Linked DNA regions of Macaca mulatta. Each later gene encodes a partner of the first gene's protein in a complex. Links are inferred from orthologs where the notes say so. Each region holds a gene or a part of one and is shown in the gene's direction. Other genes may lie near its edges.

Region 1 (7,859 bases):
TGCGGTGGGGCCATAATGCCTGAGCCAGGTCAGGAGGAGACTGTGAGAATTGTTGCTCTGGATCGAAGTTTTCACATTGGCTGTTACAAGTGTGAGGTCAGGGGCCCCCAGCACGTGCAAGGGGCTGGCAGTGTCTGCGGTGCTGGGTAGAGCACGAGACGGGGAACACAGAGATCTGGGGCTGATGGAAATCTGTTGCTTCTTTCTTTCTTTCTTTTTTTTTTTTTGAGATGGAGTCTCGATCTGTGGCCCAGGCTGGAGTGCAGTGACACGATCTTGGCTCACTGCAACCTCCACCTCCCGGGTTCAGGCAAGTCTCCTGCCTCAGCCTCCTGAGTAGCTGGGATGACAGGTGCTGGCCACCACGCCTGGCTGATTTTTGTATTAGTAGAGACAGGGTTTCACCATATTGGCCAGGCTGGTCTCGAACTCCTGACCTTGTGATCCACCCGCCTCGGCTTCTCAAAGTGCTGGGATTACAGGTGTGAGCCACCGCACCCGGCCAATTGTTGCTTCTTTTTCAACAGGAGTGTGGGCTGCTGCTCTCCTCTGAGGGCGAGTGTCAGGGCTGCTACCCGCTGGATGGGCACATCTTATGCAAGGCCTGCAGCGCCTGGCGCATCCAGGAGCTCTCAGCCACCGTCACCACTGACTGCTGAGTCTTCCTAGAAGTACCTGCTGGGTTCTCAGTTCCAGTTCCCATCCTTCGATTGATCACCCTCCCTGACATCCACCTGTATGACTTCATCACCAAATGCTGTCTCCTCTTTCTCCAATCAAGAAATAATAATCCCTCGAGTTTACAAAACACTTCCAAGTCTGCTGTCTTATCTGATTCTCCCAGTAGCCCATTACAAGCCCAGTTGTTGTTACTACCTGCATTTTTTTTCTTTTTTTTTTGAGACGGAGTCTGGCTCTGTCACCTAGGCTGGAGTGCAGTGATGCCATCTTGGCTCACTGCAACCTCCGCCTCCCGGGTTCAAGTGATTCTCTTGCCTCAGCTTCTCGAATAGCGGGGTTTACAGGCGCCTGCCACCATGCCTGGCTAATTATTTGTTTATTTTTTTGAGATGGAGTCTTGCTCTGTCACCCAGGCTGGAGTACAGTGGTACAATCTCGGCTCACTGGAAGCTCCGCCTCCCAGGTTCACACCATTCTCCTGCCTCAGCCTCCCGGGTAGCTGGGACTATAGGCACCCACCACCATGCCCAGCTAATTTTTTGTATTTTTAGTAGAGACAGGATTTCACTGTGTTAGCTAGGATGGTCTTGACCATCGTGATCCACCCACCTCGGCCTCCCAAAGTGCTGGGATTACAGGTGTGAGCCACCGCGCCCAGCCAATTTTTGTATTTTTGGTAGAGATGGAGTTTCACCACGTTGGTCAGGCTGGTCTCAAACTCCTGACCTCAAGTGATCTGCCCGCTTCGGCCTCCCAAAGTGTCGGGATTACAGGCGTGAGCCACCGCGCCCAGCCACTGTCTGCATTTTTACATGTGAGGATGCCAGAGGAGAGTGACTCCCCCAGATTGCATGGTTCTTAAATGGTGGAACCTGGGTCTTTTTGGCTCAGGTCCAGTTTTTTTGGACAACTCTTGTAATCTGTCACTACCCACCTCTCAGTGCTGGGAGCAAGCATGCCTTAGGGAGGAGGCAAGATTTCCTATATGTATCTATTTTGAGACAGGGTCTCACTCTGTTCCCCAGGCTAGAGTGCAGTGGTGAAATTCAAGGCAGCCCTGAACTCCTCGGCTCAAACAGTCCTCCTAGCTTAGCCTCCCCAGTAGCTAGGACCACAGGGGCATCCTACCAAGCCCAGTTGTTATTTTTTTGTGCGTAGATGGGATCTTGCTATGTTGCCCAGGCTAGTCCTGAACTCTTGGGCTCAAGTCCTCCCTCCTCAACCTTCCCAAGTGCTGGGATCACAGGTGTGAGCCACTGTGCCTGGCCCTAAATATTCTGTAAAGGGGTCTTGCTATGTTGCCCACACAGGTCTTCAACTCCTGGGCTCAAGTGATCCTCCCACCTCGGCCTCCCAAAGCGCTGGGACTGCAGGCGTGAGTCACCTCAGCTGGCCTTCCTATTAGGTCTCACACTCAATTCTGAGAGGGGCCTTGGTGTTACTCCCGGGCGTGGCAGTCCACTGAATGTGGGCGGTCCATACTGTTTCGGGCCTTAACTTACAGCCTATATCATCCAAGTACTGAGTGGGGTTAAAACTGAGATCTACCAATTTTCCTTAAAGATGGGGCGTTTTTGTCGAGGAAGATCAGGAATGGCGGACTTTGCATTTAGTGCGCACTGTGGCACCCACTTTTGGCTGGATATTTGGAGCAGAAAATGGTGGGAGACGATGCTTTAAAATGGTTGCTTCCATCTTCCATCCCCTAAACGCGCTTCCCAAGTCCACGTCCTGCCCGAGGAGAGGACGAAACCCCCCCGGTGAGGTCAGGAGGCCCGTAGGGGGAACACGGCTGGATGAGGACTGGCTCAGACCCCCCTACACATCCGGGGTCGCGCGATCCTCGACTTCGGCCCTCGGAAGCTCTCCCTTCGCGCCCAGAGAGCGCCTTCGCCCCCCGAGGCCGCGCTTGGCCCAGCCGAGTTCCCGTAGTTCCTAAAACTCTAGCCATTCTCGTCTCGAAAAACCGCGCGAGACTTGCGAGAACCCCGCCCCTTTCCCGTCACGCCCTGCTCTCCCCGCCCATCGCGCTCGGTTCGTTAGTTCCAGTTCGGGCCGCGAGGGGGGAGCTTTGTGCCTCGGAGGCGTGGGTGACGCAGGCGCAACGCGGGCCGCGCTCGCTACCGCCCATCCTTGGTTGTCCCACTTTTGTTCCCCTCTCTTTGGCCCTGTAACCAAGAGCTCCGTCTTCGTCTCGCCCTCCTCGTCGTCCTCGTCGCGCGCCCGCGGCCCAGGTCGCCCTGAAATCCAGCCCGTCCGAGCGCGAGTCCAACGGCCGCGGCCGCTCCCAGGTGGGGGAGGGGAGGAGCCTGGGGGGCCCCGCTGGGGCGCGAGAGGAACCGGGGGCCACGGGGGCGTGCTGGGAGACCCTCGGGGCGAGTGGAAGCATTGGAGCCGCGTCCTGAGGCCCAGGATGGTGGGGGCCGCGGAGGGCTGGCCTTGACGGGAGGGAAGCGGGCGAGGTGCCCGCGAGGGACGATCTCTTCCTCCGCTTGTCCTTTTGCACCACCCTGACCGCCCCTCCCCGGTCCCCAGGCCCCCTCAGACCGCGCCATGGGTGACAGTGATGACGAGTACGATCGAAGGCGCAGAGACAAGTTCAGAAGAGAGCGCAGCGACTACGACCGTTCCCGCGAGAGAGATGAAAGACGTCGAGGGGACGATTGGAATGACAGGTGAGCCGTTTTTAACTTCTTCTTGTCCCCATTTAATGCCGTTTCACGCCACCCGCGTCGCTTTTCTTTTTCCCCCTTGTAATTTTTATGAGGGCGAACCCTATGAAATGGCTCATTGGATCGTTTGCTGTTGTTCAGCCTATTTGTTGTTGGCCAAGTAACTAGCTGTGTGGCTTGGTTTTTTAAATTCTCAGCAGATCAGAGCAATAGAGCTAAGAGTTTGAGAATGAAGAAGCACTGTTTATACATGCACGAAAAACGTGCTTTTTTGCTTTCTTTTTGTTTTGTTATGGAGATGGGGTCTTGTTCTGCCCTGGCTGGAGTGCATTGTGGTGCAGTCATAGCAGCTTCCACCTCCTGAGCTCAACCGATCCTCCTGCCTCAGCCTCCTGAGCAGTTGGGAGTACAGGGGGAGGCCATCACTCCTGGCTAACTTTTAAAAATTGTTATTATTATTTCGAGACAGGGTCTCGCTCTGTCGGCTAGCCTGGAGTGCCGTGGCGCAGTCTTGGTTCACTGCAGCCTCCGCCTCTGGGGTTCAAGTAATTCTCCTGCCTCAGCCTCCCGAGTAGCTGGGATTGCAGGCACCCGCCACCACACCTGGCTAATTTTTGTATTTTTAGTAGAGACGGGGTTTCACCATGTTGGCCAGGCTGGTTTGGAACTCCTGACTTCAGGTGATTCACCCAGCTTAGCCTCCCAAAGTGCTGGGATTACAGGCATGAGCCACAGTACCTGGTCTAAAATTATTTTTTGTAGAGACAGAGTCTTGCTCTGTTGCCCAGGTTGTAAATTATATTTTAGGAAGATTGCTTCAGAAAAATAATAATATAGAGTTGATCTGACTGGAGAGGTTGTCAGACTATTTCCCTGACAATATATGATTAGGTTTTTTGTCACTGTTTTGCCTAAAATCTCAGAGTTTATTGGGTGGTGCTGATTGGATTGATTGATTATAAGATGTGGTTATTGACCTGAGGATGTTACAGTGTGGGCTTGGCCTGGGGGTTCAGAATGGCCATGGATGTATTCTGTAAATGAGAATACATAGCGGAAGTTATAAAGAGGATAAGCATTAAGGGAACAGATCTCTAAAGGAGGGGAGCGGTGCTGGAGGGGGTGTGTCAGGGACCCACTGGAAAGTGACACTTAGCTAGACTTAGAAAGATAAGTGGGAATTCCCCAGACACGAGTGACACGAACAGCTTGGAGTTGTGGACATAATGTGTGCTTTTAGCATATTCTAGTTTGGTTAGAGTCCTGTTTCTCAGGATGTCCGCAGACCATAGGGAGTCTCCGAGGCTAAAATTATTTTTTGTGCTAATGTTTACATATTATTGCCATTTCCACTGATGGTGCCATAGCAGTGGTGGGTAAAACTGCTGATGCTTTAGCAAACATCAAGGCAGTGACAGCAAAGAGTTTAAAAAAAAAAAAGAAAAAGCCAGCTGGGCGCGGTGGCTTATACCTGTAATCCCAGTACTTTGGGAGGCCAAGATGGGCAGATCATGAGGTCAAGAGATCGAGACTATCCTGGCCAACATTGTGAAACCCCATCTCTACTAAAAATAGAAAAAGTTAGCCAGGTGCCGTGGTATGCGCATGTAGTCCCAGCTACTCGGAAGGCTGAGACAGGAGAATCACTTGAACCTGGGAGGCAGAGGTTGCAGTGAGCCGAGATCGTACCACTGCACTCCCGCCTGGCGACAGAGCAAGACTACGTCTCAAAAAAAAAAAAAATGCCAGTTCTATCAATGGTTCTTGATGAAAGAGTAAAACATTTAATTTGATTAAATTGGACTCTTGACTGTACGTCTTTGTTTTTGACATAAAATCTCTCTCTGTTGCCCAGGCTGGAGTGCAGTGGTGCAATGTCAGCTCACTGCAGCCTCCACCTCCCCGGTTCAGGCGCTTCTCCTGCCTCAGCCTCTCGAGTAGCTGGGACTCCTGACCTCAAGTGCTTCGGCCTCTCAAAGTGCTAGGATTACAGGCCTGCATTAGTTTTCTTGAGCAAGAGTATGCATGTGATTGAGTGAGCTGAACTAACAGCTTTTTTCCATGGGACATTATTTTTACTTGAATGAATGACAAATAGTGATTGTTCATACTTGGGTATTTGGCAGACATCTTGAAAATGAACTGAGAACCTGTTACTTCAGTGTAAGCTGTCAGTATTTGTTGCCAGTGATGAAGTAGCACTTTCCAGTGAAAATTAAAATTTTGGGCCGACGCAGTGGCTCATGCCTGTAATACCAACACTTTGGGAGGAGAAGGTGGGTGGATTGCTTGAGCCCAGGAATTTGAGAACAACCTGGGCAATGTGGTGAAATCTGTCGGTACAAAAAAATACAAAAATTAGCTGGGGGTGGTGGCACATGCCTGTAGTCCCAGCTACTCAGGAGGCTGAGGCGGGAGGATGGCTTGAGCCTGGGAGGTCGAGGTGAGAGTGAGCCTTGATTGCACCACTGCACTCCAGCTTGGGCAACAGAGAAATACCTTGTCTAAAAAAAAAAAGGAAATTAAAATTTTGGAAAACTTCTATCTACTAATGTGAGCTTGACAGCTTCCCATTAAGTAAAGACTTTTTTGGTGAGATAGGCAGTGATGCTGATGCATACATTTTGATATTGTGTGAGACATATCAAAGTCCATTCAAAGGGCAAGATAGAAGAGTGCATTTTAATGTAGCAGAGAAAGAAATATTCACTGATACTATTTCAGATTGAAGGTTCTAACTAGCCTGTGAGAAACTACTTCCGTCTTGGACAAGGTAGCATAAAGAAAAGATAAAAAAGAACCTATTTCTTGTTGAATTTTGCGTAGTATCCAAAATGAATGTCTACAGTTAATCTGAAAAGGCTTTTTCAACTCCTTATTAGTGTGAGGCCTGATTATCTGTTTTTTTTTTTTTTTTAAAACGGGGTGTTACTCTGTTGCCCAGGTTGGAGTGCAGTGGCACAATCATGGCCGTGGGTCACTGCAGCCTTGACTTCCCCAGGCTCAGGTGATCCTCCCATCTCAGCCTCCTGATTAGTTGGGACTACAAGTGTATGCCACCACACCCAGCTAATTTTTTTTTTCTTTCTTTTTTTTTTTTTTGAGATGGAGTCTCACTCTGTTGCCCAGGCTGGAGTATAGTGGCATGATCTGGGCTCACTGCAACCTCTGCCTCCTGGGTTCAAGCGATTCTCCCGCCTCAGCCTCCCAAGTAGTTGGGATTACAGGTGTCTGCCACCACCCCTGGCTAATTTTTGTGTATTTAGCAGAGACAGTGTTTTGCCATGTTGGCCAGACTGGTCTCAAACTTCTGACCTCAAGTGATCTGCCCGCCTTGGCCTCCCAGAGTGCTGGGATTACAGGCGTGAGCCACCACTTCTAGCCAGCCAGCTAATTTCTGTATTTTTAGTAGAAAGGTGGTTTGACCATGTTGCCCCAGCCTGGTCTTGAACTCCTGGGCTCAGGCAATCCACCTGCTTTGGCCTTCCAGAGTGCTAGCATTCATTACAGATGTGAGCCATCATGCCCGGCCTGCCTCATTTTTCAAATAGAACAGAATATCTCAACAGATTTCAGTGTAGAAGCTATCCTCTACAAAGCCAGAACTTGGAGAGATTGGTGACAATGTAAAAACAACGCCACTTTTTCTCACCAGAATTTTTCTGGAAAATAATCACTTTTCATAAAAACATGTGATCTATTTCATCTTACTGTGTAATTTAAAAATGAAGGTTTTGGAATGTTTTGTTTTAATTTTGAATATAGTAAGTATTGATAGATGTAACCCACATAAGCAGAAACTCTTTGATGTCCTCAGTCATTTTTAAGAGTATGAAGGGGCTGAGGCAGGAGAATTGCTTGAGCCCAGGAGGCGGAGGCTGTAGTGAGCCGAGAGTGAGATTGCGCTACTGCACTCCAGCCTGAGCAACAGAGTGAGACTGTCTCCAAAAAAAAAAAAAAAAGAAGAAGAAGATGAGGATGGGGGAGGCTGGGTGACTGGTTGGGAGGTTGGTGACTGGTGGGGAGGCTGGTCGAGAGGCTGGAGTGACAGCCAGGAGCCCAAGTTAAAACAACAGTGTTGCTTACTGGCATTGAAGTAAGGGTGTGATGTGATGAGACTTGTGTTTGAGGAAGGTCCGCCTGCCAGTGGGGAGACAGAAGCGAGAGACCAGAAGCAGGTGGGCAGCCAGGGCTGCAGGAGCCACACTGGACAAGGACAAGGACTAGGACAGGTTGTGTGGGGATGGCAGAGTGTGGGACAGCTTTGATAGGCTTTGAGGCAGAGGATTAGCAGGAGCAGTAATTAGCGGTGAGGGTAGTGAATGACAGCTGGGGAGAGATGCTGTTCCGTTACAGCAGAGTGGGGAGTCAGGGGAGGAAAAGACATTTGGGCCCATAATGGTGGGATGAATAGGATTGATTCTGTTTTTTTTTTGTTTTTTGGAACGGAGTCTTGCCCTGTTGCTCAGGCTGGAGTGCAGTGGTGCGATCTCGGCTCACTGCAAG
Region 2 (7,915 bases), on another chromosome or scaffold:
AGGCGGGCAGATCTCGAGGTCAGGAGTTGAGACCAGCCTGGCCAACATGGTGAAACCCTGTCTCTACTAAAAATACAAAAATTAGCTGGGTGTGGTGGCGGCGCCTGTGGTCCCAGCTGCTCAGGAGGCTGAGGCAGGAGAATGGCTTGAACCCAGGAGGCGGAGGTTGCAGTGAGCCGAGATCGCGCCACTCACTCCCGCCTGGGAGACACAGCGAGACGGTCTTGGGGGGAAAAAAAAAAAGTCATTCTCCCAGATTAGGGAGCCAGATGTTCTCCCTCCTTAGAAGAACTGTGGGTCTCAAGCCCTCCCATCCTGCCCCAGAGAGCAGGGAACACACCATGCTCAGCTAGTGTCTGGTTACCAGCCTCAATTTTTCCGATGGCTTCAAGCTTCTAGATTGCATGATTATCTGTGTTGCCTAATTAGAAATGATCAGATCTGGGTGTGGTGGCTCACACCAGTAATCCCAGCACTTTGGGAGGCAGAAGCAGGAGAACTGCTTGAGACCAGGAGTTCAGGACCAGCCTGGGAAACAAAATGCAATGCCATTTCAACCATAAAACACAAAACAAAACAAAATTGTGGCTGGGCACGGTGGCTCATGCCTGTAATCCCAGCACTTTGGGAGGCTGAGGCAGGCAGATCACAAGGTCAGGAGATCAAGACCATCCTGACCAACATGGTGAAACTCCATTTCTACTAAAATACAAAAAACTAGCCAGGCATGGTGGCGCACATCTGTAATCCCAGCTGCTCGGGAGGATGAGGCAGGGGAATCACTTGAACCCGGGAGGTGGACGTTGCAGTGAGCCGAGATCACGCCACTGCACTCCAGCCTGGTGACAAAGTAAGACTCTGTCTCAAAAACAAAAACAAAAAAACCTGTTTTTAATTAGCTGCGCATAGTGTCATGGGCCTGTAATCCCAGCTACTTGGGAGACCCAGGGAGGAAGCTCGATCACTTGGCCCAATAGGTCGAGGTTGCAGTGACAGCTAGTATCATGCCACTGCACTCCAGCCTGGGCAAGAGTGAGGCCCTGTCTCAAAATAATAAATAAATAAATCAGAAATTTAGCTAGGAGCTTCAAATGACAAGACATTTGTATATACAGTGGATTTCCTAATCATGGGTCCACTAACTTGCTGGACCATAGTCTTAGTTTCGTATGCCTGACCCTCTAAAATGAGGGATGAGTCCAGGTAGCTCATTCCATGGCAGGCAGCAGTCTTTTTTTATTTTTGAGACAGGTTCTCGCTATGCTGCCCAGGCTGGTCTCATCTCAGGCTCATGCGATCCTCCTTCCTCTGCAGTGGCTTGGATTAGACACAACTGCCACCACGCCTGCTCCTAGGCAGTAGTCTTAATGCCTGATGATGGGGGGTTGGGGAAGGAAGGAAAGTATCAGGGTAAATCTTGCAGAGCTGTGTTAAGGACTTAGGCCCTGGAATCAAATGCCTCTGCTCACATCCCACTCTGCAAGACTTTGGGCAACTTAAGCAGCAGCCTCTGTTTCCATCGGAGTGGCTCTTGCCTCTAATCCCAGCATTTTGGGAGGCTGAGGCAGGACGATCACTCGGACCCAAGAGTTCGAGACTACCCCATCTCTACAAAAAAATCCAAAAAGTAATCTGCTTGCTCATGCGGATGTGGTTGTAAGGAGTAAGCGAAATAACACGCAGAGTGCAATGAGCAAGTCCCAGCACAAAATACTCATTTCATAAAATACGTGTTTATTATTGCCATAGGCCTACAGTCCCCGGTATTCTCAATATATCTTGCCTGAGAAGTATCACACTCATGCCTATTAACCAGCTCATACATTTTTTTAATCAAAAGAATTTGGCAGTTGTAGGGTTGTCTTTTCATTCACATCGTCCCTGGAATTAAGTGTCCTGCTACACCAGTGCAGATTCAGCAGCATCTGTCAAGAGTGTCAGTTCCATCTGCAGAGGAAAGGCTCTCTGGCTTCGGTCCGTGGCTCTCCGCGGGTGCGGTGTCTGGACCCAGCCTATCTTCATCTCTGTTAGGCTTCGGGGTCTTTCTCCACACGGTGTCTTGTCCAATCAAAGGACTTCAGCGGAGCCTGCGGTCTGGCCTAGGCTCTTCTGCGTGGGATGTCTGCAGGCCAACAATCCGAGTCGGGGTTCGAAGCCGCGCGCAGTGCCCGGAACGACCCCTCCACGTCGAGGCCAGTGTAGAGCCCGGAAGGCAAAGTAAAGGCCTCGGCCCCGCACAGCCCAGGCTTAAATGTTTGCGCCAGGGCCCCTCTGGCTACCTGGTGGTGGCCCCGAACGGCCACGGAGGCCGCGGCGTAGCTCCTGGGTGAAGGTGTCTCTGAATCGCCCAGCGCGGCGGCACAGGGAGCCTGCGGGGCCAGCCGCGAGGTCCTGCAGGCGGCGGGCCGCGTCCTGGCCCCGCAGCTGGGCCTGCAGCAGAGCGAAGGCCGTGAGCTGCGCCGCACGTCGGATAGGCCGAGACTCGGACAGGCGTTCCACCAGCTGCGGGCTGTGCAGCAGGGCCGCCAGCAGCCGCCGAAGCACCATCTTCCCCAAGCGCCCGGGAATCCGACCTCGCCGCCCTAGTCTTCCGCCCGGCGGCGCCCGACCCGGACGTCATCTGCGCCCGCGCAGCTTGATGACGACACTGCCGCCCTCGGATTGGGTCCAATGAGATGCGCGCTTCCGCGCGTTTCCGCTTCCGCCACGGCAGACGCCACCTCGTGCCGGGAATCGCCGCGTCCTCGTCCGCTTCTCTGCGCTATGTCGGGTGGCCTCCTGAAGGCGCTGCGCAGCGACTCCTACGTGGAGCTGAGCCAGTACCGGGACCAGCACTTCCGGGTGAGGGAGGCCGGGCCGCGAGAGGGGAAGGCCCTGGGCCAGAACGCTGAGAAACGGTTTGCTCTTGTCTCATTGTGTCGCCTCCCGTTCTGCTGCAATCCCCAAACGCCAAGTGGGGCCCCGGTGCCGGCTGGGGAGGCAGGGAGCGGGTGCTGGGGGGGCGCTTGGACATCACTGAAGCCGCTGGCTCTGGAAGACAGGGCATTTGAGGCTCGCTTTCCTGTTCCCTCCAGCCGCTCCCTGCACCCGAGCCGGTGCCGAGAGGCCTGAGCGCTGATGGTAGTGGCGGCTCCCGTTTCCAGGTTGTACCTCGCAGATGGCTGCGTAACAAGGGCGGGGTGCCCTTCTCTCTCCCAGAGTGTGCAGAGGCGCCTTCTTGATGCAGATTCGGGGCTTTTTACGTTCTTTTTTATTTTTTTTATTTATTTTATTTATTTTTTTTTTTTTTGAGACGGAGTCTCGCTCTGTAGCCCAGGCTGGAGTGCAGTGGCCGGGTCTCAGCTCACTGCAAGCTCCGCCTCCCGGGTTTATGCCATTCTCCTGCCTCAGCCTCCCGAGTAGCTGGGACTACAGGCGCCCACCACCTCGCCCGGCTAGTTTTTCTGTATTTCTTAGTAGAGACGGGGTTTCACTGTGTTAGCCAGGATGGTCTCCATCTCCTGACCTCGTGATCCGCCCATCTCGGCCTCCCAAAGTGCTGGGATTACAGGTGTGAGCCACCGCGCCCGGCCTACGTTCTTTTTTAAATCGGCGAAGCAGTGCCCTTCTCTGGGAGGATGGTCTTAGGGAAGCTGTACGCGGTGCGTGGGAGACACAAGTGAAGTCCTCACTCCGCCCTCGGGGAGGCTTCGGAGTGGGGAGGGGGACCCGCCAAGCTGGGCACTTTGAGGGTGTTTGGATGTGAAGATCGGAGAATTGCTGGATTTCAGAAGAGAGAAATTTTTAGTCCGGACTATATCACAGTATGTTTTGTGGAAAAAGGGGAGGCCGCAGATATACAAAGTAGGCTTTTCAGTATCAGCAAAGGTAGGGATGGAATACGGTTGAGGGGTGGCGGCGCGGGACTCATTAACCCGGTTATTTAGTAAACATTTGTTGAGTGCTGTCACCAAAGCCTTGTGCTAAACCCTGGGGGGAAGGGAAGACAGTTTCTGTACTCTGCGAGCTCATAATCCCCTGTAGTGTGGATTATCAAAGAATCTAAGGTGGAAGTGAGTTAAAAGAGAGGCTGTGAGAATTCAGAAAAAGGGGAGAAATCCCCTTGTGACTGGGAAATGAGGGGGCGCATATAGCAGAGGTCAGTGTGGAGAACGTGTGAAATATGTTACTAGAGTAGGGAAAAGGAAACTTTGACGCCAAATTAGGGAAGCTCTGAAATTTATTCAGTCGAGGCCGGGCACGGTGACTCATGCCTGTAATCCCAGCACTTTGGGAGGCTGAGGCGGGTGGATCACGAGGTTAGGAGATCGAGACCAGACTGGCCGAGATGGTGAAACCCCATCCCTACTAAAAATACAAAAATTAGCCGGGCGTGGTGGCGGCGCCTGTAATCCCAGCTACTCGGAAGGCTGAGGCAGGAGAATTGCTTGATCCCGGAAGGTGGAGGTTGCGGTGAGCCAAGATCGCGCCACCGCACTCCAGCCTGGGCAACAGAGCGAGATTCCTACTTAAAAAAAAAAAAAAAAAAAAAATTCGGTCAATTTATTTTATTTTTTGAGACAGAATCTCGCTCTATTGCCTAGGCTGAAGTGCAGTGGCGCAATCACGGCTCATGCAGCCTCAACCTCCTGAGCCCAAGTGATCCTCCCCACCTCAGCCTCCTGAGAAGCTGGGACCACAGGCTCTCACACTACATCCGGCTAATTTTTTGTAGAGACAGGGTCTCCCTGAGTTGCTCAGGCCGGTCTCAAACTCTGGGACTCAAGCGATCCACCAGCCTGGGCTTCCCAAAGTGCTGGGATTACAGACGTGAACCACTGACCCCGGCCAGTCCAGGTTTTAGATGCTTAAGTGCCAGGCATGATTTGCACTTTTTTTGAGACGGGGTCTGGCTCTGTCACCCAGGCTGGAGTGCAGTAGCACGATCTCGGCTCACTGCAAGCTCCGCCTCCCGGGTTCACGCCATTCTCCTGGCGAGCTGGGACTACAGGCCCCGCCACCACGCCCGGCTAATATTTTTGTTTTTGTTTTTGTTTTTGTTTTTTAGTAGAGACGGGGTTTCACCGTGTTAGCCAGGATGGTCTCGATCTCCTGACCTCGTGATCCGCTCGCCTCGGCCTCCCAAAGTGCTGGGATTACAGGCGTGAGCCGCTGTGCGCGACCCTGATGAGCCATTTTGGATCCAGGGATTTGTCAGGTGTGTTGGATGAAGCCCAGTTATATTCTTATTTCTGGCTTCATCGTGTCATCCCAGTTTGGAAGCCCATTAGGAAAGTGAGCTCTGTTTTGTTTTTAGTGATCACTACATTTTTTTCCTCAATTCAGAAAAAATACATGAGCATGTAAAGCATCAGAGTTGTTGCTTTAAACAGTCTCTATGGGGTTATTAAAAGGGGACTCTCTGGAAATCCACTTATTTCTCACTACAGAGTATAAAAGGGCCCTTTGTCATACATGGGTCAAGGTCCAGAGTTTAACCTTGGTTGAAAGGATGCACTGCTGAGAAGATGGCGTGTGCAGGGAAAAAAGCCGCTTGTGTGGCAGTCTGGCGTAGGGTGACTTTGCTGTATGCGGTATAACTTTTGAGCCTTGTCTCTACTAAGAGTCTGGACTTTGCATAAGTGCTTCACAGGATGTGAACATCTCCCTTTTTTTGAGCAAGGGATTTGTGGTAGGCTGGGATGAGAGAATTTGATTTCCAAATCAGAATTAATGAATGTTTCTACCATACTTAGAAATACTATTTAAGCAAGGCTCTGAAGTTGCTTTTGTCTCTCTTTGAAATTCTAGGGTGACAATGAAGAACAAGAAAAATTACTGAAGAAAAGCTGTACGTTATATGTTGGAAATCTTTCTTTTTACACAACCGAAGAACAAATCTACGAACTCTTCAGCAAAAGTGGTGACATAAAGAAAATCATTATGGGTCTGGATAAAATGAAGAAAACAGCATGTGGATTCTGTTTTGTGGAGTATCCTTCCTGTGGATGGAATGTGGCTGCTGAACTGGGGTAGAGCTGAGAATAGTAGCTCATAATCCTCCCTGCACTTGCCCCTACGTTTTCCCTCGTCTCCCTCCTACCTTCTGTCCAGTGTCACTGCTCTTTTTTTTTTTTGAGACAGAGTCTGGCTCTGTCGCCCAGGCTGGAGCGCAGTGGCCGGATCTGAGCTCACTGCAAGCTCCGCCTCCCGAGCTTACACCATTCTCCTGCCTCAGCCTCCGGAGTAGCTAGGACTGCAGGCGCCCGCCACGTCGCCCGGCTAGTTTTTGTATTTTTTTTTTTTTTTAGTAGAGACGGGGTTTCAACGTGTTAGCCAGGATGGTCTCGATCTCCTGACCTCATGATCCGCCCATCTCGGCCTCCCAAAGTGCTGGGATTACAGGCTTGAGCCACCGCGCCCGGCCGTCACTGCTCTTATACTATAAAGCTGACACTAGTTACATTCTCTCCTGAAATCCATGCTTTATGGTTGTTTAAGAAAAAGTTTTTCAGGCCGGGCGCGGTGGCTCAAGCCTGTAATCCCAGCACTTTGGGAGGCCGAGACGGGCGGATCACGAGGTCAGGAGATCGAGACCATCCTGGCTAACACGGCGAAACCCCGTCTCTACTAAAAAATACAAAAAAAACTAGCCGGGTGAGGTGGCGGGCGCCTGTAGTCCCAGCTACTCGGGAGGCTGAGGCAGGAGAATGGCGTGAACCCGGGAGGCGGAGCTTGCAGTGAGCTGAGATCTGGCCACTGCACTCCAGCCTGGGCGACAGAGCGAGACTCCGTCTCCAAAAAAAAAAGAAAAAGTTTTTCAAGAATGTTTGCCCTTCATTAAAAAAAAAAAAAAAATTCCAAAGAGCACAGTGAAAATAAAAAAACCTTGTACTGTTCTAAACCCCTAATTCCCTTTGCCAGAGGCAGTTACCAGTTTCTTGAGCATCTCTCAAGAAGTAACCTGTGGGTGTGCAGTAGTGTACTTCATGTGCTGTTTTTAAAATCATTTATTATTTATTTATTGTTCCATTTCAGCACATGTAGGTCTGTTTTCAAAATAGCCGTATAGCTGGGCATGGTGGCTCGTATTTGTAGTGCCAGCTACTCAGGAGGCTGAGGCTGGAGGATCAGTTGAGCCCAAGGGTCCAAGGCTACACTGAGTTGTACTGTGCTCCTGCCAGGGTGACAGGGCAAGACCCCATCTTTAAAGAAAAAAATGTTTTAATAGCTATATCGTAATTCATTACATAGGTGTGTATAAGCTGATTGTATAGGTACAAACCAAAACTATTTACTTGTGATCATTTTCTTACTCAGACTCTTTTAAGCATTGTACCTCCTGGATTTATTCTGTGTTCTTTTTACTCTCTGTTTTGGTCATTCAATTTAGTATTCTGAGAAATTTTGCAGACCCAATCTAATGTATCTTTTGAGTTTTTTCCTGTGTCCTGAATTACATTTGTTTCAGATGAAATTTTTCCTTAAGTGTCTGGTGATCCCTGGATTTCTGCTCATAATTAAGGACAAGAATGCTGACTCACTGGACCCAGGCAGGGCATCTCTCCCAGATTGCTGGCTTGCCTTGGGGATATGTGGGTTTCCCAAATGCTAGAATGAAAAGAGATTTTATTTTGGCCTGCTAACATCAAAGACACTAGTTCCTCCAGATGGTTTATTCACAACACCATTGTCTTATTTTTATTTGTCTGGGATTAAATGTCCTCCCCTTTAATTAAAGGGAGCTCTCTCTGATGAAGTAGGTTTGGGGACTGCTACCCTGGTGATACCTTGAGTCTTTCCTTTAGTGAAACGCAGCGCAATTCCACATGCACTGTGACCCTCTCTTTATTAAGGTGCCCTGGAATATATGGCACCTAACTTGAATATATAGCACTTGTTTCTTGGATAAGAAGTGTACAGTGGTCCAAACCTG

What was found. Proteins that work in one complex are often made in the same cells at the same time.
Region 2: the proteins of SRRT (region 1) and NCBP2 are in contact, whole or in part, in a cryo-EM structure (PDB 8PMP), measured with the Homo sapiens proteins. The link is inferred for Macaca mulatta from reciprocal best matches to the Homo sapiens genes SRRT and NCBP2. Residues at the interface, in NP_056992.4 of Homo sapiens: Asp857, Arg859, Ala860, Ile861, Val862, Glu863, Tyr864, Arg865, Ala869, Asp874; in NP_031388.2 of Homo sapiens: Ser48, Phe49, Tyr50, Thr51, Thr52, Glu53, Gln55, Lys67, Met71, Leu73, Met76, Lys77, Lys78, Thr79, Ala80, Tyr89, Asp107, Glu121.

The regions. Positions count from the first base shown.
Region 1 is NC_133408.1:48,083,168-48,091,026, forward strand, and holds the start of SRRT (serrate RNA effector molecule homolog), read left to right. Parts: upstream 1-2,794; 5' UTR 2,795-2,972; intron 2,973-3,216; 5' UTR 3,217-3,234; coding exon 3,235-3,356; intron 3,357-7,859. Other genes in the region: TRIP6 (thyroid receptor-interacting protein 6), read left to right, coding at 1-96, 528-659. UniProt on the Homo sapiens protein: Acts as a mediator between the cap-binding complex (CBC) and the primary microRNAs (miRNAs) processing machinery during cell proliferation.
Region 2 is NC_133407.1:2,487,145-2,495,059, reverse strand, and holds the start of NCBP2 (nuclear cap-binding protein subunit 2), read left to right. Parts: upstream 1-2,715; 5' UTR 2,716-2,763; coding exon 2,764-2,841; exon of another isoform or gene 2,842-3,867; intron 3,868-5,047; exon of another isoform or gene 5,048-5,197; intron 5,198-5,790; coding exon 5,791-5,972; exon of another isoform or gene 5,973-6,011; intron 6,012-7,915. Other genes in the region: protein NCBP2AS2, read right to left, coding at 2,248-2,547. UniProt on the Homo sapiens protein: Component of the cap-binding complex (CBC), which binds co-transcriptionally to the 5' cap of pre-mRNAs and is involved in various processes such as pre-mRNA splicing, translation regulation, nonsense-mediated mRNA decay, RNA-mediated gene silencing (RNAi) by microRNAs (miRNAs) and mRNA export.